7 linked regions of the Cricetulus griseus genome follow. The protein of the gene in region 2 purifies or fractionates together with the protein of the main gene of each other region. This does not show direct contact. Links are inferred from orthologs where the notes say so. Each region holds a gene or a part of one and is shown on either strand. Other genes may lie near its edges.

What was found.
Region 1: the proteins of Ambra1 (region 2) and Nek9 purify together in Homo sapiens (affinity purification with mass spectrometry; 3 studies listed by BioGRID and IntAct, with this or other methods). This does not show direct contact. The link is inferred for Cricetulus griseus from reciprocal best matches to the Homo sapiens genes AMBRA1 and NEK9.
Region 3: the proteins of Ambra1 (region 2) and Bag5 purify together in Homo sapiens (affinity purification with mass spectrometry, with the first as the bait; 3 studies listed by BioGRID). This does not show direct contact. The link is inferred for Cricetulus griseus from reciprocal best matches to the Homo sapiens genes AMBRA1 and BAG5.
Region 4: the proteins of Ambra1 (region 2) and Dcaf7 purify together in Homo sapiens (affinity purification with mass spectrometry; 3 studies listed by BioGRID and IntAct, with this or other methods). This does not show direct contact. The link is inferred for Cricetulus griseus from reciprocal best matches to the Homo sapiens genes AMBRA1 and DCAF7.
Region 5: the proteins of Ambra1 (region 2) and Bag2 purify together in Homo sapiens (affinity purification with mass spectrometry; 3 studies listed by BioGRID, with this or other methods). This does not show direct contact. The link is inferred for Cricetulus griseus from reciprocal best matches to the Homo sapiens genes AMBRA1 and BAG2.
Region 6: the proteins of Ambra1 (region 2) and Hspd1 purify together in Homo sapiens (affinity purification with mass spectrometry, with the first as the bait; 3 studies listed by BioGRID). This does not show direct contact. The link is inferred for Cricetulus griseus from reciprocal best matches to the Homo sapiens genes AMBRA1 and HSPD1.
Region 7: the proteins of Ambra1 (region 2) and Dnajb1 purify together in Homo sapiens (affinity purification with mass spectrometry, with the first as the bait; 3 studies listed by BioGRID). This does not show direct contact. The link is inferred for Cricetulus griseus from reciprocal best matches to the Homo sapiens genes AMBRA1 and DNAJB1.

The regions. Positions count from the first base shown.
Region 1 is NC_048598.1:118,461,164-118,465,019, reverse strand, and holds part of Nek9 (serine/threonine-protein kinase Nek9), read right to left. Parts: intron 3,236-3,856; coding exon 3,043-3,235; intron 863-3,042; coding exon 718-862; intron 1-717.
Region 2 is NC_048599.1:85,029,835-85,034,121, forward strand, and holds the start of Ambra1 (activating molecule in BECN1-regulated autophagy protein 1), read right to left. Parts: upstream 2,868-4,287; 5' UTR 2,626-2,867; intron 1-2,625. UniProt on the Homo sapiens protein: Substrate-recognition component of a DCX (DDB1-CUL4-X-box) E3 ubiquitin-protein ligase complex involved in cell cycle control and autophagy.
Region 3 is NC_048598.1:182,322,306-182,326,887, forward strand, and holds the start of Bag5 (BAG family molecular chaperone regulator 5), read left to right. Parts: upstream 1-1,732; 5' UTR 1,733-1,905; coding exon 1,906-1,919; intron 1,920-3,112; coding exon 3,113-4,481; 3' UTR 4,482-4,582. Other genes in the region: cytochrome c oxidase assembly factor 8, read right to left, coding at 1,112-1,240. UniProt on the Homo sapiens protein: Co-chaperone for HSP/HSP70 proteins. It functions as a nucleotide-exchange factor promoting the release of ADP from HSP70, thereby activating HSP70-mediated protein refolding.
Region 4 is NC_048600.1:118,986,203-118,990,058, forward strand, and holds part of Dcaf7 (DDB1- and CUL4-associated factor 7), read left to right. Parts: intron 1-207; coding exon 208-417; intron 418-2,199; coding exon 2,200-2,317; intron 2,318-3,689; coding exon 3,690-3,856. UniProt on the Homo sapiens protein: Involved in craniofacial development. Acts upstream of the EDN1 pathway and is required for formation of the upper jaw equivalent, the palatoquadrate. The activity required for EDN1 pathway function differs between the first and second arches.
Region 5 is NW_023276807.1:14,227,258-14,231,569, reverse strand, and holds the start of Bag2 (BAG family molecular chaperone regulator 2), read right to left. Parts: upstream 3,009-4,312; 5' UTR 2,938-3,008; coding exon 2,825-2,937; intron 1-2,824. UniProt on the Homo sapiens protein: Co-chaperone for HSP70 and HSC70 chaperone proteins. Acts as a nucleotide-exchange factor (NEF) promoting the release of ADP from the HSP70 and HSC70 proteins thereby triggering client/substrate protein release.
Region 6 is NC_048595.1:409,526,429-409,530,840, reverse strand, and holds the start of Hspd1 (60 kDa heat shock protein, mitochondrial), read left to right. Parts: upstream 1-1,355; 5' UTR 1,356-1,480; exon of another isoform or gene 1,481-1,561; intron 1,562-2,362; 5' UTR 2,363-2,364; coding exon 2,365-2,538; intron 2,539-4,057; coding exon 4,058-4,310; intron 4,311-4,412. Other genes in the region: MOB-like protein phocein, read right to left, coding at 47-211, 844-846. UniProt on the Homo sapiens protein: Chaperonin implicated in mitochondrial protein import and macromolecular assembly. Together with Hsp10, facilitates the correct folding of imported proteins.
Region 7 is NC_048596.1:160,786,273-160,790,893, forward strand, and holds the start of Dnajb1 (dnaJ homolog subfamily B member 1), read right to left. Parts: upstream 2,844-4,621; 5' UTR 2,741-2,843; coding exon 2,530-2,740; intron 1,051-2,529; coding exon 470-1,050; intron 294-469; coding exon 63-293; 3' UTR 1-62. UniProt on the Homo sapiens protein: Interacts with HSP70 and can stimulate its ATPase activity. Stimulates the association between HSC70 and HIP. Negatively regulates heat shock-induced HSF1 transcriptional activity during the attenuation and recovery phase period of the heat shock response.

The sequences.
Region 1 (3,856 bases), on a different chromosome or scaffold from region 2:
CCATGCCAGGCAGCTCACAACTATAACCCTAGATTCAGGGCCGGTGGGGGGATCTGAGACCCTCTTTTGGCCTCCACAATAAAAAGTACAAACCCATACTAAGATATACACATACACATAAAATTAAAAAAATAATATCAAGGACTTAAAAAGTAATGATAAAATCAAAACTATATATAACCTTTGATCCTGATTTTGTGTCATGCAAAATCCAAAGCAGGACACAAACTAGCTTTCTATCTCGTATCTTCTCCATTATCCACCTTCCTTTTTCTCCTCCCCCCCCCCCGGTTTTTTTTACATTTAAATTAGAAACAAGATTGTTTTACATGTCAATCCCGGGTCCCTCTCCCTCCCCTCCTCCCCTGCCCCCCACTAACACCCTACCTATCCCATCCCCTTTCTGCTCCCCAGGGAGGGTGAGGCCTTCTATGGCTGCAGTTCTTTTTCTTGCTCATCACTCTACGTCACAGCAAACTGGGAAGTTTCTTTTGTTTGTCTTAATGTTGGGAACTGAACTTACGGCCTTTCCTATACAAGTGCTCTACTACTGAGCTATTCTCCCCAAGCCTGGGAATGTTGCTATTAATGAGGATATTTGCTTACTGTCTTTTGTTTTTTTGGTTGTCTTTTGCTATAAAATCTCAACTAAAGTGCATAGCATCAGCACAATGTCTCATATTGAATGTACTCAAAATGTTTTTTGTTATGGCTTACCTGTCACACAGACAGTGAAGTCATCCCCGCACGACACTTGGTGGATGGCTTTTCCCTGCAGCTTCTCCACATGCTTTGGCTGTCGATAGGAAGCTTTGTCTCCATGTCCTAGCTGACCATGAAGTTTAGTGCCCCCTTGCATGTTCTGTTAAAAAAGAGGTCTTGTGAAGTTTTAACTTTTCACACTAAAAGCTAATCTTTAATATCACTTCTTCTGAAGAAAAACAATAAGAAAAAAATACTGGAAATTTAAAGACAAAAGTGGGGAAGGGTATTAAGCTTTCAAAAGGCTTTTTTTTTTTTTCTTTTTTTGAGATAGGGACTCACTATATAGCACTGGCTATCCTCAAACTAACTCTCTGTATAGAACAGGCTGGGCAATCTGCCTGCCTCTGCCTCTTGAATGCTGGGATTAAAGGTGCTCACTGATATGCCCTGCCAGGTTAAAGCATTTATTGGTTAATATAAATCCCGACTTACAGGTAAATAAGATTTTAAAACACATCCATATTCATACCCATCAGGCACAGGACAAATTCCAAATTGCCTTTTTTGTAGTGTAAGGTGAATTATATGTTTAACTATAATGGGAGATGATGAAAAAGTTCAATACAGAGTATAATTGGATTGCTTTCTGTTCTAATTTGGATTCTGCTACTGTGATGACTACCATGACTCAAAGCAACTTGGAAGGAAAGAGATTACAATCTACCATTAAGGTAGTTTACAATCTACCATTTAGGAAGCCAGGACAGGAACGCAAGTCAGGAACTGAAGCAGAAGTTACCACGGTTTACTGCTTTCTCTTCATGGCTTGCTTAGTTTGCTTTCTTATAGCACCCAGAACCACCTGCCCAGGGGTGGCACCATCCACATTGAGCTGGACCCTCCCCAGTCAATCATCAATCAAGAAAATGCCCCACAGAATGTCAATTTGATGGAGACAATTCCTCAACTGAGGTTCCCTTTATCCAGGTGCTAGTTTACATCGAGCTGACAAAAACTAACCAGAGCAGTTTCTAAATGAGTATAATAACCTCTTGAAAAGACCTGCACTAGAAGTTTATAGATTTTGGGCAGCTTCCCTAAAACAGAACAGTTAAAAAGACCATAGCTATACCAAAAAGAAAACAAAAATAAGGAAAAAGAGAGAGAATTTGGTTCCATCAAGGAAGGTGCTATGTGGTAATAAGAACAGTCCTCATAGCTTTGCAACAGTTTCACAGAGATAGCAATTCTTTCCATTCACTGACCCAAATATAAACCCCGTAGCAAACAGTGGTCAGGCATTACTTATTACATTTCAGGCTGCTGCCTCAGGCTAATTCTCTAAGGGATAAGGTTTTGGGAAACAACATCCCTCTGTTACAGAGGCCAAATCTCTCATTCTTTTATGATTTCATAATTACCCACTCTCTACTTTCACACAATGGAGATAAAGCACCGGATAAGATAATACAGTCCTTATGCCTATGAAGAAAGCTGAAGCCACTGAAAAACAGACGAGCTCCCTCATGCACCTACACAAGGTACAGCAGTGAAACAGAAAGCCAGCAGCACTTGCTGTTACAGAAGCCAGGTGATAACAGAACCTCTAGGGAGAGGCCATCATGCTAGGGCAGGACAAAAGGTGTTTATTTTATTTTAGCAGTTTACAGGTCATTTGGTAAGACCCATATTAACTGAGTGGCAAGGACAGAAGCTGCACTGTAGGTGAGTGAGGAGAGTGGGAGACCTGGAAAATGCAGAAAACACATTGGTGATGCACACCCGGAACCCCAGCACTTGGGAAGCTGCAAATCCTAGATCAGCTTTGGCTACAGGGTTAAGACCCTGTCTCAAAATAAAAATGCAACAATAAACAACAACAAAACGACAGGGCTGAATTCAGAGGACAACAAAGGGAAATTCTAAGCTATTTTCATTCATAGATGGGGTCTGGGGGGTTTCCTGAAATGGCAGTGTTTCATTTGTTTACAAAGTTATTTCACAGGTACTAGCTGCTCTAACCTCATGATAACAGAACACAAGTACCTGAAATATCCGAAATCATCTAGTTGTCCATGACAGACAGCCCAGTCTTCTGAACCCAAACCCAAGGTTCTCTTACTTTTCTTTTCCTCTCTCATCCACTTCTCTAGAACCATTCATAAGAACCACGATGCCCTAGGAATGGAGCTACATGAGTGAACTACACAGCCCACAGCTGCTCTCACAGGAGCTCATGTTCCATCACTTGTCTCATTCCTGCAGCACAAGGACAGCTAACAGAAGCCTACACAGCCCGGGCCCAGAAGCATCGGGGCTTGTACTCACTCTACTTACCACCCAAGTGTATAGTTCCTTCTCCACAGTGACCACAGCAAAGTGGGTATTCCCCGCGCACACCTGTCGGGCACTACAGCCACTCTTGATGACGTCCAATTTCTGGGGTGTAGATTTTCCACCACCCCAAACATAGACTTCACTGGTTCGTGATGTTACCACAGCAATGGGTGCTTCAGTCACAGTGCTTGACCTGCCAGCAATCCCCAAACATATTTAACGTAACAATGGTTTCAAAGAAGACACAGGGCTTGACTAGCTAGCATGAAGCCCTTGGTTTGATCCCTGGTGAGGGGTTGCATGCTTCTTTCAAAAAAAAGAAAAAAGTCTATTCTCTCAGAAAAACAGCCAATTTTGGCATGAGAAAGTATATTCTTTCAACCCTTTCTCTTAACAGGCTTCATCATGGCTCAACCAGACCAGATTCAGCCAGTCCCTAACAGCTCCACTCCCCACTTTTCAAAATTCATCACGGGAATAACATCCACTTTATTGTAAGGGAAAATTTGGGCTTTCTCTTCAGAAAAGACTGTCTGGAGGCTGCAAAGATGGCTCAGCAGTTGAGAGTGTGTAGTGCTATTTCAAAGGACAGTTCCCAGCAATCATATCAGTGGTTCACAACTGCCTGAAAATCCAGCTCCAGGGGATCCAATGTCCTGTTCTGGCCTTTAAAGATGCCTACATGCTCGTGCACACACACACACACACACACACACACACACACACACACACACACACACCCCGCCCCCCACACCCACACCCACAAATAAATCTTAAAAAATAAAAAAGAAAGAAAAGTAATGCCTATATGACA
Region 2 (4,287 bases):
GCCTTTAATCCCAGGGAGGCAGAGGCAGGTGGATCTCTGTGAGTTGGAGACCAGCCTGGTCTACAAGAGCTAGTTCCAGGACAGTCTCCAAAGCCACAGAGAAATCCTGACTCAGAAAAAAAAAAAAAAAATTAATAAGTAAAACTTTCAGGAAAAAACAGAGAAGCCTCGAGTTTCAATCCCTGTAACCTCACTCTCACCAAGTTCTTTATCTGCCTCAGCTCAACATAATCCTCTGCCCATTATTTTTAATTTAATGTGCATTGGTGTTTTGCCTTGGGTGTTGGATCCCCTGGAACTGAAATTACAGACAGTTGTGAGCTGCCATGCCGGTGCTGGGAATTGAACCCGGGTCATCTAGAACAGCAGTCAGTGTTGTTAACCACTGAGCCATCTCTCCAGCCCCCCATTATTTCTTACAGAAACTTATAAAATGCTTTCAACCTTTTTCTTCATGATATACACAGCACTTTCCATTTCTTATCTGGCATTCATTAAGAGTCACTAAGATACCACTTAAAACTACAGATTCCATGAAGGATATAAAGTCTAGTAGACAATGTTACTTCTGCCTCTACATTCTTTGCTTTGGTGTACATTTTTTCCATCATAAAGTTTATTTCAGCCGGGCATTGTTGGTGCACACCTTTAATCCCAGCACTCAGGAGGCAGAGGCAGTTGGATCTCTCTGAGTTCAAGGCCACCCTGAGTTCCAGGATAGGCTCCAAAACAATACAGAGAAACACTGTCTCAAAAAACCAAAAAAAAAAAAAAAAAGAAAAGAAAAGAAAAAGAAAAAAAGTTTTATCTCAACGAATATACAATCTTAGCTTAATTACTCAATCTATGGTCTACACACAAGATGGTCTAGTGGTTCTTCACTAATCCCTTATAAAAAGTACCAAGGTCCTGGTAACTAAGAAATTGCTAAAGATCAAAGGATTTGATTTTCATGGACCATCAAAATGGCTCAGAAGATAAAAGGGGATTTCTGTCAAGCCAGACAACCTGAATTTACTTGGGAATCATGTGGTGAAAGGAGAGAACCAATTCCTGAAAACTGTCCTCCAACATCTACATGCATGGCATGGCATGCCCCTGTCTGTAGACGGACAGACAGACACATAGTAAAATTAAATAAATAACTTCCATTTAAATCTTGCTGATCTCAGGGCTAGGGATGTAGCTCCATGACAGAGCACATGCATGAGGCCTTGAGTTCAAAATTCCCAGCACTACAAAAGAAGGGACCTTACACACACACATTTAAAAAAATTGGAGAAACAATACAATTCTATTATCATCTTTCTAAAATTCATTAAAAAGGCATCCTAAAATTGTGTAGAAACAGACTTTCACAATCTTTACTCCCATAAAGTCATTCTCCTATAATGAATTCTATATACTGTGGAAACATCCAGTCTAGAATAACCTACAAGCCTTTCTTTCTTTTTTTTTTTTCAAGGAAGAATGACAGATTAGGATCATGATACTGATCCAATGAAAATGAAATTAACAAAAACACTTAGACCTTAATGTTTCCAAGTTGTGAAAGAAAAAAGAAACATTATGAAATTCACAAAAGATTCATCTTCAATTTAATATCTGTTTGAGTAATTTCTACACAAAGACTTTTGAACTCTTGAATATGAAATGACTAAACCACTAACCAAATAAAAAAGCAAAACCAAAAACTGTTTGAAAAGAGACTCCTTGGATTCCCTTTGGATACCTCCTAGAAAAGACCTTGACAAGACAAGAACCTGAATTAAAAGTCTTAAGCGTCTTCCATGAGACACTAAGACAGCACCATAGCAGAAAAATTCCAAAGAAGGCTGAAGATCAGTATCAATCAGAAGGGTAATGAAAGCGAACAAAATTATCCTTGCTACTTTTGCTAAAATGATAAACTTTGAAAAACCAAATTCAGGAGGAAAAAAAAAATCACTTGTTCCCTTAACTTCTGAAGCCTCCAGTGACACAATATATGTTCCTAAGAAGGAGGAGTTCCAAGCGATCAAATAAGAAATTACTGTATGTAAAAAAGTGACCAGTTAAAATGGGAGAAAGAGTAGAGTGAACCGTTAAAGACACAAAAAGAAACTAACAGTGCATTTAATGATCTGTCGGGATCGTAGGGAAAACTCACGTCCTACACCTCAGCCTCAGTTTCCTACCCCAAAAAGGCTGGAACGTGACATTTTGCTCCAACGAGCGGGAGGGCCTTGTTTCACAAGCCTCAAAGGGGGCCTCGGAGGCTGGACTCAGTGGGGGGTCCCCAGAGCAACTGAGGCATGACATCCGGAGCCCTGACTTGGGAAGAGGAGAGGGGGAGCAGGGTCCAAGACAGCTAAGCTCCTACAATCTAGCGGTGACGACACTCGTCCAGGACCTAACAATCCCTCTCTGCAGAACCCGACCGGCATCCTCAGCATCTCTTTCTCCTTCCGGCTTCTTACTGAGTTCCGGGCCGCCCTCCGGCCGCGCCCCCGAGCGCAACCCCCTTCACTCCCAGCCGCCCGGCGGCCCGCGCGCTCGCCCACCGGCCAGCGCCAAGGTCTCCTCCTGCCCGCAGCCAAAGGATGCCGGGCCGGGCCGGGCCTCCCAGGCTCCTCCCGGGCCTACCTGTGAGACGGGTGAAGGCTCGGCCCGAAGGCCAGCGGGCGCAACGAGCCACGGACGAAGGCGGGAAGAGGCCGAAGGAAGCGAGGGATCCGCTCGACCGACCAGCGGGAGAAAGCGGCAAGAGCCCGAGACCTCCGGGATAACTCTGTTCAGGACCTGGCACCGCCGCCGCCGCCGCCGCTCTGTAGACATCAACCAAGAAGACGCCGCAAAAGATCACAGAACACACGAACGCCCAGACATCAAAGGAAGAGCGCCCCAGCAATCGTTCAAGGAACTGCAGCCGAGTGCCGAATCATTGCTCAGCTCCTGCTGCAGGTCCGGCTGCCGTCCTAGGCATTAATAAACAAATACAGATCATAAACTATAGCGTAGAGTGTTTCTACCATTTACTGTTGGTGGCCGAGGGTTTAAGTAACTTAGAGAATTAAAGGTATGAGACCGGTGCACGCCTGTAATACCAGCATTTTAGGAACACGAGGATTCGAAGTTCAAAGTCATCCTGAGAGTGAGCGCGAGGCCAACCTCGGCTATATGAGACCTTGTCTTAAGTGAAAAAAGAATGTCTTTTGTGAGAGCATTGATTGAAGATCAAATCATAGCAGAATGAAACTCATCTTAATAGTTCAAGTGCCTTACACTTAAAGACTTCTCACGCTACTTATCCCAGTTGAACAAATGACTTGATTCTTGATTTCCTTGTAGAATAGTAAGGTGTATGAAATAAGAGAGGCGAAATGAAAAACCAAACAGTGAACAATCTCACTGAACACTCCAGTTTAGCCTTACATATGTAGAAATTTGTCCCCAGGCATAATATACTGTTGCCATCTTGAAATCAAAGCAGCTCTGGTTATTTGCACAATACCCTCATTAAGATTGGGCCCACTGGTGAATAATATCCCCTGGTGGAAAGGGGGGACTCAGGAGTCAGTGTACAGTGCCCTTCCTCTACTCAAGGACATATAAATAGTTCATTGCTGAAGGAGGGCAGAGACTCGAGTGGTGTAGCTGCCATAAGTTGCCCATGGTCCTGTGAGTAATCTCTCACTCAGTCTCCTGTAAGCAACCCTCAATTAAATTCATTGGCTCAAGCTAGACTAGGGTAGAATCATTTATTTAGTCTGCCATTGATGCCTTATTCAGGATGAATAGGTGTTTTGTTTACATCTCCCCAGGAAGTCAGGCAACACCTGTTACCCGAACAGCTGAGAAAGAGAATCACAGATGAGTTTCAGAGGAGTAAATTGTACAGTCGCTGCTGTGGGTGATCAGACCTGCAACTGAAGCTAAGCTAAGCTGAGTGTAAGGCTGGCCTGGGGGCAGTTCTGATATGGCCATCCTTCCTCCTGGGGTATGAAATGAAATGTCTTCTTGATGTGGTGCTATTTCTTTGTCCATTCTGTGGGTGATATGACATGTAACTGAGCTGCTGCTCCCTGTGAAGGTGGAGTATCTGTGGAAGAATCCCTTGGTGACTGTCTTTATGTCAGTGGTTCTCAACCTTACTAATGCTGCAACCCTTTAATAAAGATCCCGTTAATACAGATCTTCATGTTGTGGTAACTCCCACCATAAGATTATTATTGTGCCTACTTTATAACTAGTTTTGATGCTTTTATGAATCATAATGTAATTATCTGTGTTTTCCAATGGTCTTAC
Region 3 (4,582 bases), on a different chromosome or scaffold from region 2:
GGATTGTAGCCAGCTCCCTTAGCTAGTCATCCCCACTGCTATCTTCCAAAGGGCGAGCAAGCAGCATAGACTTGCCACTTGGGTCTATAAAACGCTGAAGTGTTATCCTGAGGACCCAGACCCTGGGTAAGATTTACTTTTTGTTTGTTTTGTTTTGAGACAGTGTCTCACTTGGTTGCCCTGGCTCCAAGTTACTATGGAGCTGAGCTTGCTACCCAGACCAGGCAGGCTGCCTTGTGAGTTAAAGGCGTTGAGCCACCACACCCGCAGCAAGACTCTCTCTCTCTCTCTCTCTCTCTCTCTCTCTCTCTCTCTCTCTCTCTCTCTCTCTCTCTCTCACACACACACACACACACACACACACACACACACACACACACACACCCCAAAGTAAATGCTTGGCTGAGTTACATTTCCCCTCCCCAAACATGTTCAGACACCTGTTTCGTTTTTCCTTCTGCCCAAGGACTAAAATTCTATTTTTCTAGAGACAGAAGTGAAGGCTTGTCTGTTTCTCGTGCCAGGGAACCGAGCCAGAGGCCAGGAGCCCGGGCAACAAACCTTAACTGGAGACTAGACAGACTTCAAAAGCTGTAGTTCTAATAAAAGTGTTTCCGAGACGCAGCATAACAGAAATGGAAATTCACACAGCAGGCACATTTTGCAATTCTTAATTATCTCCCCCACACACCTTTTTTTTCCCCGCTGCGGCCCTTTAATTATTGCTTAAGCAAACCTCGCCAGCCTGTGTCGCCGGCCTGCTGGCAAATGCAGTGCGGGCAGCCATGGGCGCTGTCTAGTGCTCTCCACCTGAAGCCTCAGCCATCACTCTCACTGGCCCGGGCCTCCCTTAAACGAAGCACCGGCTCGGGAAGAAGGGCGGCGGGTTAAACAAAAGCCGAGCGCCCGGCCGCTTTCCCGGCTCGCTGCGGACGCGCCCTGCGGCCTCTGACGCTGCGCGACTGTTTACAAACAACGCGCGGCCCGAGCCGCCGCCGCCTCCAGACCGAGCCCGGGCGCCTTCGCGCAGCGGAAGTGAGGGCGCAGCGCGCCGACAGCGCTTCACGCCGGCTCCGGGGACGCCCCGCTCCCTCCCCGGGCGTCCGCTCACCGGGCTGGACGCCGCATCCCTGCGCTCCGTGCCGCGTTCCCGGGCCAGCCGGCCGCCGCCGCCGCCGCTGGACGAGGAGCGGACGAGCGGCCGGACGAGCGCTCCGCTTCCGGGCCGCAGAGCCGCCATGGCCGGCGCGCGGCGCGATCGCGACAGCGCCGCGGTCCGCTTTACGGCAGCGTCGCGCGGGCGGCGGCGGGCGGCGCGGGCGAGGCCGACCGTGCGCTTTCCCGGAGAGCGGCGGCGGGCGCGCCCGGGGCGGGGCCCGGCCGCGTTTTTCCCCGGGCTCGGAGCTGGGCGGCCGGCCCCGCGGCGGGCGCCGCCTCGGCAACGCTGCGGAAGTGCAGGCGGAGGAGCGCGCGCGATGGCGCGAGCGGCCCAGGTGAGCGCAGCGCAGCGCGGGGGGGGCGCGGGCCTCGTTCTCCCCGCCGCCGCCGCTCCCGCGCGCCCATTGTGAGGTCAGGCGGCGGCGCGTCGGGCCCGGCCGAGACGCCCCGGAGCGGCCGCCGCGGCCAGTAGCTGCCGCCGCCTCCGCCGGCCCCTTCACCGGCCGCCCGGGTCAGACCTAGCCGGGAAGGGCGAGGGGGATGCCGCTGGGGGCCCCGCTCCGGCGCCGCTCCCCGTGACGGGCCGGTCTCCCGCCTCGCCGCCCTCCGCGGCCGCCAAGACCGCCGCCGCCCGCACCTCTCCGGGCTTGGACTGAGTTCTGTGGCCGGCCCGCCGGAAGTGAGCGGTTTGACAGAAACCTGAGAGACGGAACGAGCGAGCGAGCGAGCGTGGGAAAAGCTCTAAGCATGCTTACGGGGAGGCGAGTGACCCAGCTAATAACCGCACTTGTCACGCTTTCTGGCGGGGGCCCGGGTCGGGGCAGCAATGGGAGTCGAGGGGGGCGAGGACTTCGTGGAAAGGACAAGTCCGGTTGGGCCTGGGGCAGAACGGTGGCCCGGTGAGGAGCCCCGGAGAGCGCCCGATGACTTCCACAGGGGAGCCTCCCGCCCCGCCTGCCGCTCCCAGTCGTCCTCTAGGGCGGTGGGAGCAGAGGAAACGGGGTTGACGCGGATGGTTTGGCCTCCGTGAAAGTGTGTGCGTGTGTGTGCGTGTGTGCGTGTGTGCGTGTGTGTGTGCGCGCGGCTCACTTTGATTCCCAGGCCCAGACATCCACCCCAGACTGGACAGACTTCTCCCTGTTTTCGTTTTGCTTTTGAGTCAGGATCTCACTGAGTGGCCCGGGCGGGTCTTGAACTCCTAATTCTCTTCCCTCTGCCTCCCTGGCGCCGGGCGTGTTGGCACATTGTTTTGTGAAGTGCTTTCCCGAGAGGGAGTTAACATGTCACATCTCCTCTTTCCTCGAGTATGTCTTCCAAATCTATAAATAACGACAAAACCTTCCGTCTGTGTGTTTTGGTGCTTGCCCGGGTGCCAGAGTTCAACCCTGCCCCCCTCCCCCCAGACACACCATTTCTGTGGTGTCCTTCTACTTTGTTTTTTTTGAGGCGGGGCTTCTCATGGCCCGAAGCTCCCCAATCGGAGTAGGCTAGCTGGCCAGTGAACCACAGAGTCCACGCGTCTCTGACTCCTGGCACCGGTGGTGTAAGTGAGCACCATCTTGCCTGGCTTTTACGTTTTATGTGCACCGGTGTTTTGCCTGCATGTATGTGTGTGCATCACATGTGTGCCTGGCGCCTGTAGAGGCCAAAAGAGGGGATCAGATCACCTGGAACTGGAGTTACAGGTGACCAGGAGAGGCCATGTGGGTGCTGGGAATTGAACCCAGGTCCTCTGGAGAGCATCCAGTGCTCTTAACCACTGAGCCCTCTCTAGGGCCCTTGCCCTGGCTGTCTTTGCATGTGTTCTGGAGCTCCAACTGGAGCACTTGACTGACAGCTGTCTCCATAGCCCCAATTAATCCTTTAAAAAGTATGCCTTTTAAAAGTGAGTTTAAAGTGGGTTGATCTAACTGTCCTGCAGAGACTGTAATAAGTTACTCTTGCCGTCTTTCAGTGCTTGTGAAACTGAACACAGAAGTATGGATATGGGAAACCAACACCCTTCTATTAGTAGGCTTCAGGAGATCCAAAGAGAAGTCAAGAGTATAGAGCCTCAAGTGGTTGGCTTCAGCGGCCTGGCGGATGACAAGAATTACAAGAGACTGGAGAGGATTCTGACGAAACAACTTTTTGAAATAGACTCTGTAGACACAGAAGGAAAAGGAGACATTCAGCAAGCTAGGAAGAGGGCAGCGCAGGAGACAGAAGGCCTTCTCAAAGAGTTGGAGCAGAATGCAAACCACCCACACCGGATTGAAATCCAGAACATCTTTAAGGAGGCACAGGCCCTTGTGAAAGAAAAGATCGTGCCCTTTTACAGTGGAGGCAACTGTGTGACTGACGAATTTGAGGAAGGCATCCAGGACATCATTCTGAGGCTGACGCATGTTAAAACAGGAGGGAAGATCTCTTTGCGGAAAGCAAGGTACCACACCCTAACCAAGATCTGTGCCGTGCAAGAGATCATTGAAGACTGCATGAAGAAGCAGCCTTCCCTGCCGCTCTCTGAGGATGTGCACCCTTCAGTTGCCAAGATCAATTTGGTGATGTGTGAGGTGAACAAGGCCAGGGGCACTTTGATCGCACTTCTGATGGGCGTGGACAGTACTGAGACTTGCAGGCACCTATCGTGCGTGCTGTCAGGGTTGATGGCTGATCTAGATGCTTTAGACGTGTGTGGGCGTACGGAGATCAGAAATTACCGGAGGGAGGTGGTGGAGGACATCAACAAACTACTGAAATACCTAGATTTAGAAGAGGAAGCTGACAGTACACATGCATTTGACCTGGGGCAGAACCATTCCATTCTGAAAATAGAAAAGGTGCTCAAGAGGATGCGAGAGATAAAAAATGAACTTCTCCAGGCTCAGAGCCCTCCCGAACTGTACCTGAGCTCCAAGACAGAACTTCAGGGCTTGATCGGACAGCTAGATGAAGTCAGTGTTGAGAAGAACCCCTGCATCCGGGAAGCCAGGAGAAGAGCCGTGATTGAAGTGCAGACCCTGATCACGTACCTGGACCTCAAGGAGGCCCTGGAGAAGAGGAAGCTCTTCCCTAGTGAGGAGAACCCCCCACACAAGGCTGTGTGGGATGTCCTTGGAAACCTGTCAGAGATTCAGGGTGAAGTCCTCTCGTTTGGTGGAAACCGAACTGATAAGAACTATATCCGTCTGGAGGAGCTGCTGACCAAACAGTTGCTGACCCTGGACGCTGTTGACCCCCAGGGAGAAGAGAAGTGTAAGTCTGCTAGGAAGCAGGCTGTGAAGCTGGCCCAGAACATCCTCAGCTACCTTGATCTGAAGTCCGACGAGTGGGAGTACTGATGGACCAGGAGCTGCTCCTGCTGGTTCACACTTTATCTGCTTTTAGAGAGCTTTCAGCTCATGGAGCCTAAATGTAATTTCTATGTGCATATTCAATCTCA
Region 4 (3,856 bases), on a different chromosome or scaffold from region 2:
AGACAGCCTCCAAAGCCACAGAGAAACCCTGTCTCAAAAAACCAAAAAAAAAAAAAAAAAAAAAATGATCTTGATTCTCTGAGAAGCCACTAACTTTTCCTGCTATTCTGTTCTGTCATGAGTTGGGGTTCATGTGAACTGGAAGTAACAGGTTTCCATCCTGTGGGAAAAGGTGGCTGATGTGAACTGGACATTTCTTACCAATAGGTCTATGATATTGCGTTCAGCCGAGCTGGAGGTGGCAGGGACATGTTCGCCTCTGTGGGTGCGGATGGCTCTGTGAGGATGTTTGACCTCCGTCATCTGGAGCACAGCACCATCATTTACGAAGACCCTCAGCATCACCCACTGCTTCGCCTCTGCTGGAACAAGCAGGACCCTAACTACCTTGCCACGATGGCCATGGATGGAATGGAGGTAAACCCCGTTGTCATGTGAGCTTTCTGCCCTGGCTGGTCCCGTGGCCCTTGAGCCCCAAATGAACACACAAGACTTATATTAATTATGAAACTGTTGGCCGATGACCAGGGCTTCTTTTTTTTTTTTTTTAAGATTTATTTATTTATCATGTATACAGTGCATGCCAGAAGAAGGCACCAGATCTCATAATGGATGGTTGTGAGCCACCATGTGGTTGCTGGGAATTGAACTCTGGACCTCTGGAAGAACAGAGTGCTCTTAACCCCTGAGCCATCTCTCCAGCCCAGACTAGGGCTTCTTATCAGATAGCTCTGTCTTAATTATTAACCCATTTCTATCAATCCGTGTCTTGCCACAAGGCTGTGGCTTACCCAGTAATGACCAGCATGGTGTCACTCCTCTGGCAGCATCTTGACTCTGGCCTCCTACACTTTCCAGAATTTGTCTCCTAGCCCCACCTATTTTCCTGCCTGGCCAATCAATGTTTTATTCATCAACCAATAAGAGAAACATATAAACAATAGCATCTCCTATCACCCCATACGTCTGCCTGTCCCTTGTCCAATCTGCCTTGTGTATTTACAAGAGTAGCTCTCGGATGGTGGCGGTTTTGTGCTCAGTTGATCTTTGGAAATACCTGGAAACATTTTTGGTTGTCAGAAGAGGAAGCAAAGAGTATTTTTGGCATCAAGTGGGCAATGATCAGGGAGGCTGCTAATGACCCTGCAATGCACAGACAGTTCCCAACAGTGTCAGTCTACTAAAAATGCCAAAAGGGCCTAGACTGAGGACCCTGGTCAACAAAAAGGACTGTGCTCAGCTTCTCCCCACTTTGGTGAAACAGAGTTTCTGTAGCTCAGGCTAGCTTGGAGCTTACTGTGTATCCTAGGCTAGCCACAAACTCACTGCAGTTGCACTGCTTTTGTGTTAAGGATTTCTGATACAGTGGGGATGTAGCTTAGCAGGAGAGTACTTGTCTAGTATGCTCAAGGCTCTGAGGTCGATCCCCAGTACAAAAAAATCACACCCTTGCATACACACACACCAGTAAACTTTCAATGGGCATGGTGGTGGCACACCTTTAATCCCAGCACTTGGGAGACAGAGACAGAAGGATATCTGTGAGTTCAAGGCGAGCCTGTTTTACATAGATTTCTAGGGCTACATTGAAAAGCATTTTCTTAAAAAATAAAATAATTTCTGATAAAGTAAAGCTAAGACAAGTAGAACAGCGATGGTGGCTACAGCAGGGACTCAGTGTAGGTACACAGAGTCACCATGAATACAGTGGGCACTCAGGGCAGGTACAGAGTCACCATTTGTTTGTTTGTTTGTTTTTCAAGACAGGGTTTCTCTGTGTAACAGTCCTGGCTGTCCTGGAACTCACTTTGTAGACCAGGCTGGCCTCGAACTCACAGAGTTCTGTGAGTTCTGCCTGTCTCTGCCTCTCCAGTGCTGGGATTAAAGGTGTGTGCCACCATCGTGTCTTCTTACAGGCACTTAACAAAGGTGTGTGTGTATCATCCAAACTCACAGTGCCTATTCCTGCTTCCCCTTCTTATTAGTCTAAAGGCCCAGGGTCTCAACACAGAGACTACACTACATGTGTTTGTTCATTGTTTTCTTTCTTTCTCCATCCTAGGAAACCCTTTCTTTCGTATTCTTCAAGTCCACAAACAAAAAGATTATGCTTAAAACTTTGTTTGTGAGATAGTGTTGTTTGTTTGTTTTTCCTGCCACACTCTGCAATTATTGGGCCTTTTTCTTACATTTCTGCAGGTGGTGATCCTGGATGTTCGAGTTCCCTGCACACCTGTCGCCAGGCTAAACAACCACCGAGCATGTGTCAATGGCATCGCTTGGGCCCCACATTCATCCTGCCACATCTGCACTGCAGGTAACCACGATGGGAGGGAGGATCAGAGAGTGAAGATCCATTCTTGGCTCCCTATGAGTCAAATCCTTGCTGTTTCCAAGGAGACTTTTGTGAAAGTGGAGTAGTCCACATTCCAGATGATCTTGTGTATTTAGTTGGTCTCAGATCATCTTTTATTGACTAATGACATTGTATCAGATACAGACCCGTGCATATATTCCTATAGGGGAGTATGTGCTGTTCCCCAGGAGTCTGGGTTCTTACAAGAAGAAGCATCCCTCTTGGCTGTAACAGGATCTTTGGCACTACCAGGAATCATCTCCCTTGGGTCTTGGGTCTTGTACCTTCACATAGCCTTACCTACAGTTCTCATTTTAGTATTTTTCTCAAAGAGGGTGCCACCATAGCTAGAAAACACATTAATTGGCAGTGGTTCGATTTGTTGTTGTTGTTGTTGCTGTTTATTTTTGATGGTGTTAAGGATTCAACCAAGGATATTAAACATGATAGGCCCTGAGCTATATCCTCAGTCCCCTGTTGCTGGGACTACAGGCCTAGGTGGAATTTCTTTTAATGGTGCATGTCTGTATAGCAATTTGTGTCAGTCATCTGTACAGCTTGTTGAAGTGTAAGTATACATAAAAGGGAAGCAGTCATCAGAGAAGCGTCTTCATTCACGTAAGTGTTTTTAGTGGCTGACAGTGATATCATATTGTAGGATCATTGCATCCTGTGTCCTCTCCTGATTCTCGACTCCAATGTTCTGATCTAATTCTCTAATACTGGAGCAGTGGGTGGGTGGAGCTTAAGGACCTGGATATGAGTCCTGACCCTGCCACTCACTGGCTACATGGCATGATGGGGCAAGTGTAACATTGCTAAATCTTGGTTTCCTCATCTCTAAAATAAAACTCCCTCACAAAGTTTTGGTGAGCAAATGTTTTACAAATTATGATTGACCCTCCAGTTGCAAGATTGTTACCACATTGTGGGCTGGAGAGATGGCTCAGAGGTTAAGAGCACTGGCTGATCCTCCAGAGAACCTGAGTTCAATTCCCAGCAACCACATGGTGGCTCACAACCATCTATAATGAGATCTGGTGCCCTCTTCTGGCCTGCAGGGGTGCATGCAGGCAGAACACTGTAGATCCTATAATTAAAATCTTTAAGCTGGGCATTGGTGGTGCACACCTTTAATCCCAGCACTCGGGAGGCAGAGGCAGGCGGATCTTTGTGAATTTGAGGCCAGCCTGGTCTACAGTGCGAGTGCCAGGATAGGCTCCAAAGCTACACAGAGAAACTCTGTCTCTAAAAACCAAAAAAAAAAAAAAAAAAAACAAAGGTTGTTACTCCATTGTCTGAGCTATGACATTCTTGCTTGTTTTTTCCCCAGCGGATGACCATCAGGCTCTCATCTGGGACATCCAACAGATGCCTCGGGCCATCGAGGACCCTATCCTGGCCTACACAGCTGAAGGAGAGATCAACAATGTGCAGTGGGCCTCAACTCAGCCTGACTGGATTGCCATCTGCTATAACAACTGCCTGGAGATACTCCGT
Region 5 (4,312 bases), on a different chromosome or scaffold from region 2:
TCTAGGACTGGGACTATAGGCATGCACCACCATGCTGGCTTTCTGAAGCCAGGTATCAAACGTAGGGTTCTGAACCTGCTAGACAAGCATCCTATCAACTAAGCTCCTTTGCAACCCACTGCTCTCACAGCTGAAAGAGATAATAACAGCTTCCTCCTCCTCAAGGGTTATAGAAGTTTCAAATTACAAGGTATATGAAAAGTGTTCTTTTAAATTACAGACTATTACTCCAATTAAATATGGTGTCGACTTGCTTTGTGAGTCCTGGGACACTGGGACATCCTGACAGGAACCTTAAGCAGTAAGAAACCAAAGCAGCGGACAGTGCATTTCCTTGGCCCTGGCGACAACATCATTTCCTGCCTGGGTGGACTGGAAAGAACTACTCCCTATGGGACCATTTGGGAAGTGTACGGACAGCCGACCTCCCAGTCCTACCTATCATTCATTCCTCCTCTGCCAATCCCCGAGACCCAGCTGCTTTATCACCCACAGCTTCTAGAAGCTACTCAATACTTGGCACGTACTGGGTGCTCAATATTTACTCAATTAAATGCTAAATTGATTTTTCTTTTAGTAAAAGCACGTTCTTATGCCAACTGGACAGTTTGAAAAATGATATATTCAACACTAAGACACATGGTGTTTGATCTGAGCAGCCCCTCTTCCTGTGTTCAAACGTGGAGTCCACAGCTCTTGGCTGCAACTTGAGGCATGTCGTTTATATCTGAGCTTCAATTTCTCATCTGTAGAATACAGATAATGGTAACTCCCACAGAGGCATGAGGCCTAGCATGCAGATAGATGCTAACATGTATTATTTATAAACTAGGATAAACATTAAAAAGTAATAAGTAAGCCATCTAGCCACGAAGGGCGCAGAATCCCATAGAACTGGTCGCAAAAATCAAGAAAGGACAGGGTTACCTCTTTAGAGGAGCTGTAGTAGAAAATATTTTTTTTAATGTCAGATAGTGTAGTTAATATTATAAACTAATAGAAACGAACGACAATCCACTAACAGCTTGTAAAACAGGGCTGAACATTTTAAAGCATTTTAGGCAATCCCAGAGGTCAGTTCAGCCTCCAGGATATAAAGCCTTTGATGTGGTTTCAGTTTCAGAAGAAAAAGTGACTTCCACTGTCAATAGAATCCACACAACTGACTGGAAAATGCATACTATCTACAAACCAGGGTTTTACAGCACCAAATCCACAGCCTTGCTAATATTTGTATACAAGGAAGCTAGTATCGGGAAATCACACAAGCTTCATCTTTCCTCTATCATCCATATTTAAAAATTTTGTTTTGTTTTATTTTGTTTTTTTTTAAGACAGGGTTTCTCAGTAACTATGAAGCCAGTCCTGGAACTCACTGTGTAGACCAGGCTGGCCTCAAATTCACAGATATCCACCTGCTTCTACCTCCCGAGTGCTGGGATTAGAGGTGTGTGCCACCACTGCCCAGCTAAAAGTCTAAATTTTTAATAGTGCAGTGCCCTGTGTCAAAGTGGCTTCTAAAAAGGAGCCCCATGCCTTGAGCCATTAAACACACATTAAACTCTCCCTCTCAGCAAATAGTTAAAGTATCAATTAATCACATATGTGCAACAGTCAGAATTCCTTTTACATTAACCAAACATTAGACTGCAACACCAAACCCAAGGCTTTCAGGAACCCCCTCCACCCCCCTACCCAGCACTAGGGAGGCATTAATTCAGGTTTCAGGACAGTGACTCAGCTAAAGAAGAGTAACAACTTCCTAAACCCTTTCAAGGAGAAAAAAATCTGAGCAGTTGAGAATATACTGTCCAAGTTCAGTGCCTACTTTGTAGAGGGAAGCATTCCCTCTCCTCAGAAGGGCTTGAAAGCTGAGGTCCCTTTGTCTCACTCCGGGCTGGGGACTGTATGGTTAAGGCTTCTCTTGTGGCTACTCAGGAAATTGTGAAAAAAATTTCTCACCGTCTGGATCTCTGCTCCTAATAGTAATAATAACAAATGCCTCATTTGTAACAATGCTGCTTGTGGTAGTTTTCTGTGCAAACATCCTCCCGTTTGTTTGTTTGGTGGACGAATGGAAGGAGATTAGGCACACAAGACTCTTATGATTTTGCTCATATTCTTTTGCTTATGCAGAACCTGGAGAAAACTAGGGAACAAAATGTTCGCAGTTCCAGAAGACCCAGGGTGCCTTGATAAGATTTTCATGGAACAACACCTGCACACAATCAAGACTTGCACAACTTCGGAGACATTAACCAGATAGGTAAGATCTCAAATTGCTGTAGGCAACAAAGTATTTACAGCATTTGCTAGTATTTACTATTTAGAAATTTTACTACAACACCGATCCTGCGATAGAATCTCAGGCAGAGTGTGACTCGTACCTTTTCAGGCCTGTGGCTGGCACTTCCTAGGTGTCATCAGTATCTTCTAAATGCACAACAGATACAGACCGAATGCGGAGGGCATTGCACGTGGTTAAGAAAATGAAAGAACGCATCCAACTTTGCCACCCACAACGGCCACTCGTGGGTCTAATTCTCGCTGGTCGCGGGAGGTGCAGTCTGGAATTTTCCTTACTCTTGTGTTACTATGAAGTGGTTTGGGGCAAAGAAACTTACTACAATGGGAAGGTGGGAGGGAGAGACCCCACTAAGCTGCTGCCTCCCTCCAAAGAGCATTACTGGAAACGTGGAAGTTAGAGGCAGCGGGGACCACACACAAGGTTCTGGAAGTTGGGCAGGCCGCGCGCGCTCGCCCGGGGAGTGGAGCCCACCCGAGGCGCCCCCGCCTGCACGCTCACCCGCCCGCCCGCCCTCACCTGAGCTCCAGCTGGTCCAGGCTCTCCAGCAGGCGACTGGAGCGGTCTGCCATGGACGAGGAGCGACAGAAGCGACCCTCGTGGGCCTTGGCGCTGATCTTCGCCTGGGCCATGAGCTCCGGGGGTCCGGGGCGTCCGCGGGCAGCAGTGGCGCGGGCCGCACGTCGCCGTCACCGCGGGCGCCGCTGACGCGGACGGCACCGCCCCCGAGGCCGCGCGGCCAAACAAGGGCAGGCGCGGGCGCAGCCGCCAGCACTCGGGTGGGGGACCCTGTCCCGGTGCCCGTCGCCAGCCTCCCACCGGGCTGCCGGCTCGCCGATGGCTTCTGATGTTTGTCCCAACACCCACAATTCACAGCAGGGACAAAATCGTGCGGCCCGTGACGTGGGAGAAAAGATCCCCTGGTGTAGCGTTAAGACAATTGAGTGCGCCTTAGGGGCAGTCTCTACTTGCCCGACCTGCCGGGTTACCAGGCAGGCTCCTAAGAGGACAGGGAGAGCCTGGGCAACACTGTGCTCCAAATAAGGAAAAGCCAAGTGCATTTATACTGTCTCGCCTTTCTAATGAAAGGTTATTACTTTCACACCCAACTTATTGAAATCCTCCGTGAATAATATTCAATAGGCTCCTGCAGAGGTCACTAAGAGGTGGAGTAGGGTTGAAATACAAAGCCATGTCTGGTTAGAGTTGTGTTTTGTCCTCTCGGTGCACAGAAAATGAGAAACTTGGATTTACAACCTTGAATCAGAACTCAAAGCCATTTGATGACTTAACAGAGTCAAGTCCCTTAAGCACAGCTGGCTTCCAGGTCCTCCACCACCATCACCACCCGCCCCATCCCCAACTCATTTTACATAATAAGGAACAGTAGGTTATCTGGCTTCATTAAACATTGTCATTTCATGACACAAATGTGAAATTTGAACGTTTTGTGAATGTCTTGAAAAATCGAAGCTTGCGCTCATCTCAGGTCTAATGCCAGCTCATCTGGATGTTGATAAAGGATTGTGTCTCTCGGGCCAGAGTGAGTTCAAAGGCCAGGCGGGGTTGCTTTGCCAAGAGCTAAAAATCTCAAAAAGTATAAGGGGCTGTAGACGTAGCTCGGTGGTATAGCATCTGCCTTTGTCCTAGGTTAGCAACTAAACAAGGCAGATGTCATGGATTCAGTGTCTTATGCTCTCTGGCATCTGGTCCTCAGTTGGCTGTTTGGGAACGATTATGTGTGGTCTTGCTGGAGGAAGTATGTCACTCTGGGCATGTTGCAGAAGACTAGCCATTCCCAGTGTGTCTCTGCCTCCTCCTTGGGTTCCAGATGAGTGCTCAGAACCTGTCCTTGATGCCATCGTGACTCTGACCCTCTGTAGCTGAGCCCAATTAAATGATGTTTTGCTTTGTTTTTTGAGACAGGGTTTTTCTGTAGCTTTGGAACCTGTCCTGGAACTCCCTCTGTAGACCAGGCTGGTCTGGAACTCACAGAGATCTGCCTGC
Region 6 (4,412 bases), on a different chromosome or scaffold from region 2:
CATATCACATATAAGACTCAGTACTGCTGTAGTAGCTCCCAGTTACCTTTCCTTTCGAGCCTGATCCCACAGCCACTACTGTTGCTTGCAATACTTTTCCTTGAGACTTTTCTGGAAGCATAATGCCACCTTTGGTCACAGTTTCGGCGGCACTCCTTTCAACCAATACTCTGTCAAAGAGCGGTAGAAACTTTTTGAAAGCTTGTCCAGCCTGCGGAGAGAAACGTGTTCAAACGGACTGTCATTGCGTTCGCAGCGTCAGACCACGAACAGTTAATACCGCTGCATGCCTTAACCTATAACGGGTCAAACGTCCCAAACTGACAAGAAAAATCTAGGTGTGCCTTTAGAAAATATTCTTGGATGTTTCATACCCTGTATATTTTAGTGCGTGTGGGTGGGTGGGGGGGTGTCTTCATTGCCCATCAGCACCCACACTACCTTTAACCACAACCTTGGTCTCCTCCAAGGTCAAACGTTTTCCTTCTTTAGATTTCTTTTTTTAATTCTAGTAACGCCGGGGAGAGAGTATCAATTTTTGAGCTGGGTCATATATTCTCCAACACAGTATACGTCCATGAAAGCCCTGGCAGGGCAGGTGGGCTACTGAGTGTGCATCCGGGTTCCCGCCCCCTACCCCGGGCTCCTGCAGCACACGTGCGTGCAAAGAGGCCGTGGTGGAGAACCGCATCGGACAGGCCTCGCTCCTGCGGAACCCGGGCGGGCGCCGAACACTGCGTGGCCCCCTGCCCTGCCGGTGCTAAACCGGCACACAGGGGGGGACACCGTGGGTCGCGGGGGACCCCGACCCGCAGGCAGGCCTGCCAGCCCAGGGACACTCACCATGACTCGCGCCGCCGCCGCTCGGACTCTGCACTCGGGCCGCCGCTGCAAGGAGAGTCCTGAGGTCCGGCTCGGGACACGTGAAAAAGCCACGCAGCGCGCAGGCGCAGGCGCACGCGGCCCCCCCCCGCGAGCGTGAGAGAGGGCGGCCACGGCAGCGCGCGCGCCGATTGGTGGCGAGGACTCCGCGCAGGCCGCCGAAGGGGGCAGCCGGAGGCGGAAGAAAAGGGGCGCGCTTTCTAGGCTTTTCCAGGCGGCCCGCTGAGGTGAAAGAACGAGCCCTTCGTCCTCCTCCCGGAAATGACGCCACCTGACCCTTGACCCACGGGAGGCGCAGCGCCCTTCCGGAAGGTTCTAGAACGGAGCGAGGCCCAGGAACCAGCGTAGGGCGGCGGGAGAGGGTTGAGCCCGCGGGGCTGAGACCGCTCGGGTACGGGGGGGGCGGGGCCACCCGCGCCGCATGCTGATTGCAGGGCCCGGGCGTGGGAGGGAGCGGGGCGCGCGCGCACGCGGGGCCGCGGGGCGGGGCCGCGGAGGGAGGGGACTCGGACTCATTGCGGTGCGCGCTCTGCGCTCGGTCCCTCACTCGCCGCCGACGGCCTGCTTCGCCTCGTGCCCTCCCGCCGCCGCCCCGCAGGTACACGGCCTCGACGTGCATGGCGCCCGGGAGCTCGCCGGCCTGCTTCCGGCTGGGCCCGAGCATGGCGGGCTAGGGGACAAGGCTGGCAGCGACGCCGCAGGCTCTGCCGGCCTGTCCAGGCCCGACGGGGCCACGCGGGTTTCATCACGTGCGGCGGGGACCACGCGACCCAGGCCAAGCGCGGGAGCGAGGACGGGCTAGGGTGGGAGCCACTTGGGCCCTCTGGTGCCACCTGCGCCTGGCGCACTGCAGGACTCTTGTCGGAGGGTGGTCGCGGTCCCTTCTCGTCCCCTCTGGCTGCGGGGATGCGGCGCCTCTACTTTGACCTTGCCTGGGGCTCCTTGTCGGGCAGACACGTGGGGCCGCGCGAATGGGCTGAGCTGCGGTCCTGGGTTTTGCGGCCTTGCTAGTTGCTGTGCTACCGTAGCTCCGGGTGGACACCTGGCGTCACTTTTCCTGAGCGGGGTTTTGCACCGTCATGAGTACTTGTATAGTTCCCTGTGCTCTTGCATTTGGAACCTGCCTCGCTTACGCCAGCTTGATTTTTTTGCCCCCCCCACACACACTTTTGGAGTGGATCTGTTCCTAAGGCCGCTTTGCCAGTGAAAGATTAACTCGCGGTGGCAGGAGTGGGTGGCCATGGGGAATGGTTTTGTGTGCTAGGGCTGCAGGTCAAGCGAGCATGGGGGCGGCCTCCTTAATCCGTTGCTAGCAATTGATGTCCTGAAGCTGCAGCGCCGTGTGTGGCCCAGGCGTGGCGGTTAGCAGAGGACTGCCAAGCTCCAGTCTAGCTAGCCTCCATGTTCTGAAGCACAGGTGGACAAGTTTGTCCGTAACTAGTAGTGATCCTTTGCTTTTTTTTTTCCCCCCCTCTCCCAGAAATGCTTCGACTACCCACAGTCCTTCGCCAGATGAGACCAGTGTCCCGGGCGCTGGCTCCTCATCTCACTCGGGCCTATGCCAAAGATGTAAAATTTGGTGCAGATGCTCGAGCCTTAATGCTTCAAGGTGTAGACCTTTTAGCGGATGCTGTAGCTGTTACAATGGGGCCAAAGGTATCAGTATACTTTAAATCGTGTTAATAAAAGAATAGTATTCTGTAGCTGCAAATTAGACAGTATTTGTTAACAAGTTTTATGAAAATCTAATTTGAGTGTAGTACATGTTAAGTGATTTGGGGGTGTTATTTAGGAGTTTCGTTAGTTGGTGGCCTTAATACTGCTGCAGCCGATTTGGGGGACTTTTGTGCAACATGATGTAATAGAGTAGTAATAGCTCAAGGAGGATTTTCAAACTTTAGGCGTAATTAATCTTGTGTGAATGCTTGCATTAAATTTTGGATCCTTTCCCAGGAGTTAGAGGGTATAGAGGGGAAAGGACAGCTCAAGACTAGTAACACCTCAGAGTGTAATTGTAGATGTGAGGTTTTACTTAACTGTACTGAAGTATTACAGTATGCATACAGTAGATGCGATAGCATAGAGTTTAGATTTATTTATATTTTTATGTGCATTGGTGTACTGTCTGCGTGTATACCCATGTGAAGATCCCAGAACTGGAGTTACAATTGTGAGTTGCTATGTGGGTGCTGGGAATTGAACCTGGGTCCTAACCACTGTGGCATCTGTCCAGCCTAAGTTAATATTTGTGACTTCGTTTGCATTGTTCTGTAACTCACCATCACACATCTCCAGAACCGTTTTCACTTGCACATGGAAAAGGCTATCTGGTCTCCCATTTATCCCTCCATTGTGCATACCTCATGATTTCTCTGCCATTTCCACATTCCAAAAGTTTGGTTTGGGGTTTTTAAGAGTCTCGATAGCTTAGTCAGACCTCTAACTCGCTTTGTACCAAGACTATCCTTGAACTGATTGTCCCAGGTATGTAACAGTTTAGTATACTATTCATCTGGTGTTTATTGAGACAGGGTCTTTAGCCATAGCTGACCTGGAACTCCTGTGGACCAAGCAAGCTTGAACCTTGAATCATTGCTGAGATCCAAGGCTGGAGTCACTCATCTGTGTGGTTGAATAAGGAGCCATAGTACTTTGAGGACATAATTGGATGTGGGGCACAGTTGCTTTAAATTGACGTTAAAGCCATCTAAAGAGCTTCGTAAAGTGCTGTTTATATAGGTCAAGACAGAATAGCTTGGTTCAAATCCAAGTTGCCAATACTGTTGGTGTCAGTTTTGAAGTTTTGAATTGCATGAGCAGGAAACAGTAAGTTAAGAACAAACTTACTGGCTGATATTTAGTGAATGGATGTTCAAGTAAATTGTACTTAAAAGCAACAGTTAATAAAAAAGTAATAACAGTTCATAACCAAAACTCGTGTACAAGTGATGGAAGGGTGTTCCAGGATTGGTGATTGTCACCTGTGCTATCTTGTTTAATAGGTGGCATCTCTTTGGGTGGGTGGGGGATGTTATCTACTGTTGTACCTCAGAGTTCCTTTTGTCTATAGACCTAAGAATGTTGATTAACTTGACCTTTGAGATTCACGTTTCAGGACTGTTAAAAGTGACAACTTTGAAGTTTATGGTTGAGGGTTGTTATTCTGTCATTGTAGGGAAGAACAGTGATTATTGAACAGAGTTGGGGAAGTCCCAAAGTAACAAAAGATGGGGTCACTGTTGCAAAGGCAATTGATCTAAAGGATAAATACAAAAATATCGGAGCTAAACTTGTTCAAGATGTTGCCAATAACACAAATGAAGAGGCTGGGGATGGCACTACCACTGCTACTGTTCTGGCACGTTCTATTGCCAAGGAAGGCTTTGAGAAGATCAGCAAAGGGGCTAATCCAGTAGAAATCCGGAGAGGTAAGAGCATGTCATTGACCCTACAGAAATGAGAGTATTGTCTCATCTTTTTCCTTTCTTAATACATTTGTTGGTGTGTGTCCATAGACAAGATGGGAGTTG
Region 7 (4,621 bases), on a different chromosome or scaffold from region 2:
ACGGTCCGGAAATCTGCAGCTCTGGAAAAGTCCCTGGCTCAGTCCTTGGAGAATGCAGGTGGCTATATGGGAAGAACCTGCTCCAGGACGGTTCTGGATGTCAGGGGAATCCTTTCGGGGAAGATGACTTCAAATTCGATAACAAGGTCCCCACGTTTCTCAGGTGTCTTGGGGAGAGGGAGGCCTTCTCCAGGAACTTTCCGCCGCATGCCGGGCCTGATGACATCTTTGAATACAACAGGGATGGTCCTGCCGTCCAGAGTGGGGACATTTACAGTGCAACCACAGAGAGCCTAGGAAAGCAAAAGGACTATGTTAGATGGAAGCTGGCTTAGGAAGCTTGACTCCTCCAACATCCAGAGAGAAGGTTCAGGTCCACCAGACCCATGCAGCTGAGCTCCAGCCAGTCTCCCCCACTGCTCCTCAGAGCAGTCATCTCCTTTCATGATTCTCCCACCTAGTGCCTTACCTCCCGAAGGCTAATCCTGGCTGGATAGATGACATCAGAACCATCTCTCTTGAAGATATTGTGTGGCTTGTCCTTTAAAACAAAGACGATGTCAGCTGGAATGTTGTTGGAAGTCTGGTCCCCTTCCTTGGGAAAGGTGATTTTGGTCCCTTCTTTCCAGCCCCTCTTCACTTCAATGGTCAGGATCTTATCTTCATTTCGAATGCTCTTTCCATCGGGGTTCAGCCGCTTGTGGGAGATTTTCATTTTCTTGGTACAGCCGCTGTAGATCTCTTCAAGGGAGACCCGGAGATCGTGGGTGACTGGGGGATCTTGCTTCTTTCGGGCAGGCTCTTGGGCAGGGCGGGCACGTCCAAAGTTCACATTGGTGAAGCCACCCATACCCATTGGAAAGCCCGAGAATGGGTCATCGATGTCCATGCCTTCTTCCCCGTTGCGCTGCCCAAAAAAGGTATCAAAGGGGTTTCTGCCACCAAAGAACTCAGCAAACATGGCATGAGGGTCTCCATGGAATGTGTAGCTGAAGGAGGTACCATTAGCACCGCCACTGCTACCGCCACTGGGGCCACCACCCTTTAGGCCTGGAAAACAAAATCAGAAATCAGAGTTACTGTAGGAGAGTCAAGGCCCTTGGTTTCCATTTCTAGCACTGCAATAAATTAACACATTTACAAAACAAAATCAAGCCTGGCGTTGGGTGGTGTATGCCTTTAATCCCAGCACTCGGGAGGCAGAGGCAGGTGGATTTCTGTGAGTTCGAGGTCAGCCTGGTCTCCAGATCGAGTGCCAGGATAGGCTCCAAAGCTACAGAGAAACCCTGTCTCGGGGGAAAAAAACAAAACAAACAAACAAAAAAATCCCACCAACAAACCCATAAAATCCTTAAAATAGAAAGCCCAGACATGGTGTCGAATGCTTGGAAACCCAGCACTCCGAAGACAGGAGCAGGTTGATCTCTGCAAGTTCCAGACCAGCCAGGACTCCAACACGAGGCATTGGGGACGGCTCAGAAGTTAAGAGCACTTGCTCCTATGGCAGAGGAACCATGTTCGATTATCAACTCCCACACAACAGCAGACAACTAACTCCAATTCCAGGGGATTCAACATCCTCTTCTCTCGAAGCAAGTACACAGTGAACATACATACATACACGTACCCATATATATAGAAGTAAAAATAAAAGCCTGAACTACACAGTGCGATCCGGTGACTGTCATGTTATATAGCCCTTGAACTTGCTGAATAGTCCAGGTTAGCCTAGAGGCAATCCTCCTGACTCAGACATACCAGACCTGGGATTGTCACTACATCCTGCTCTTTTGGAAACAGGAGCTCATTCTGTAGCTCAGATTTGAAGCAAATTCACAACAATGCTTCAGCCTCCAAAGTGGGGTGTGTGAGCTCCCGCACCTGGCTCAACAAGTTTTGCTTTTAATAAAAAAAGCCCTGGGAACCGTAGTGGGAGGGGTTATATGTATTTTTAAGTTTGTTCTAGGTGAATCTCAAGTCTTTAACTGCCAATGGCAGCAGGAGCAGGAAACACATTACTCCCTTTCACTTCGTGACAATTCGGTAGTAAGGCCTGCAGCTGTCGGCGCCACCAGGTCTACTTGACAGCCCCATCCTCTCTGCCATGCTGTAACACCTTACAGAGAAGTTCCTACGCACTGCGGCCAGAAAGGCTCAGCTCAACTCTGGGTTAAGCGCTGAGCCTGCGGGTTAGCGGGCCCAGAGGAACAAACACTCGGGCGATTTTCAAAATCTCACACCCTAGCGATCGCGACCGCCGCCCTCCGTCTGCAGCGTTCGGGCGCTGTGCAGGCGGCCGGCCCGCCGGCCGGGAGGGGCTGCGGCAGACGTGCTAGAAGCTTCTGTGTGAGCGGCGGGCGCGCCCAAAGCTCCTCCTCCCGGCTGAGGCCGCCGATCAGAGGGCGGAGGCGGCACCGCCGCCGGATCCCCGGGCCGTCGATGCGGGGCCGAGGCCTCAGAGAGGCCCCGAGTGCCTCGGTTTCCCTGCCTGTCAAACGGCGGGTCACCCCCGGCCGCGCGCACGCGTACCTTCTTCTCCGTAGCGGTCGAAAATCTCGCGCTTGCGCGGGTCGCTGAGCACGTCGTAGGCCTCGGCGATCTCCTTGAACTTCTCCTCGGCGCCGGGCTCCTTGTTCTTGTCGGGGTGGTAGCGCAGCGCCTGGCGGCGGTAGGCTCGCTTGATCTCGTCGTCGGACGCGCCGCGGGCCAAGCCCAGCGTCTGGTAATAGTCCTTGCCCATGGCCACCGCCGCCCAGCTGTCGCCGCCTCCGGCTCCGCAGCTGCCCTGTCCCGGACTCTATATACCCGTCCGGCGGAAGCTTCCAGATCCCGCCAGCCCTCCAGAACCTTCCGCCCCTCCCGGCGCGCCGCGCCACTCGGGCCAATCGCTGCCGGCCGCTCCGTGACGCAGAACATCCGGGGTGGGACCCGGCAGCCAACGGCCTTCCGCGCGAGGCCACGCCCCTTCCCGCTCTACCCTGGTCAACGCCTCCCTGGGGCGCGCGCGCCCCTGCCTGAGGTCCCGCCTCCGCAGTGGAGACAGCCAATCGCGGCCCGCTCTCACTGCCGACTGGTGACGACGTGGGGAGGGGGCGGGGCTACAGAGGCGGGTCTCTTCCGAAGCCGCACCCTGTCCCTAGGTGAAGACCGGCTGGGCGGTCCTGCCCGGTGACTTGTAGCTGCCCGACCCGTCCCTCCAAGTTCCCTCTGCTGTCACCCAGGGATAAAAGTCCGCACCCCACCCTCTCCTGCCGGTTGCTCCGTACAGGCCGTTACTGTAAAGCGAGGTGAGGCTGGTCTGGCGAGGGATCGCCCCAGTCCGGGTACTCAGGCTTCCTTACTTCCTGCTGAGGAATTAGCCGGGTTCTTGGCGTTCCGGGTAGATGTCACTCACTTTGCTGTCTGAGTTCACCACCAGGGCAGACATTGGATTTTGCTTCGTGGCTGTGCATCTTTTTCAGGACCCACTAGGTGCTTCGTAAATATTTCCGAATGCTTTGACGTGGGCGCTTCTTGCTGTGGGGGAACAGAGCACCTCTGTTAATTGACTCTTTGGGTTTTTAAGTCTTGGATGATGGCGGTCAAGGACACAGCTGAGAGCAAAGGGGAGAGAGCTTCTGAAACTGCCAGGCTTAGAGAAGCGGGGGTAGTCGGTTTTGGTTCCTGCAGGGAGAGAAACTACCTGGAAGTCAGAGCACGAGCCTTGACTCTGTAGCCAGAGAGAGTAGGCTTCGTTCCAGATCCTAGTACTTCCTGGCTGTGTGACCTTGAATTGGTAAAGTAGCCGTTCTGGCCTCAGTCGTGCTCACTTATGAAATCGGAATGGCCGCTGTATATAGGAAGTTGACGTTACTCAGCATCTGTGAAAGTGCTCAAGAAAAACCAGGGACAAAGGGATGACTAATTGTCTTGTTTAGTGGATGACGCTGACACCTCCTCTCTGGCAGCCCTGCAGCGTCTGAGCCTCTGCTGAACCTTGCGTTGGACAGCCCGAGACCTGTGAGAAAGATGACCTTAGCCTTCTCTTGGTGGTCTATCCGGATGTGTGTGTTCTGGTTTTCCTGACCACACTGACCCCAAGAGAACTGAAAAGGGCTCTGTCTAAACACAGTTGAGCCCCTGCCCCCAAAATGGAATTGGGACTAGGGGATCCTTTAGCTCAACAGAGGATGTCCTGAACCAGTCACTTGGAAATATTCAATGTTACCTAGAGAAATAACAAGAGAGCTGGCACAGTGGAACATTCCTGTAATCCCAGCACCAGGAAGCTGCGACAGGAGGGGTACTGTGTAAGGCCCGCATGGTTTACAGAGTGAGAGCTTGCCTCAAAATAGGTGAATAGAAACAGAAATTCCATAAAGAACAGAAGAGCTGCCCCTACCGGAAAGCGCAGAGCATGAGGAATTCTTCAGTGGGGACATTCAGGTGTGCCTCTAGAGGGGCTTGGCTGGGTCTCACTAAGGTTTCTAGTCCACCGTATTTTGCACAGGAAATGTTTGTGTTTGGGGACAACCTCAAGGCTGGAAATGTCCTGCTCTCTAAGTAATGATGGGGCATAGTTTTGAAGGTGTGTTTTAGTTACTACTGTGACTTTTTTATTTTTTATTTTTTTAGGCAAGGT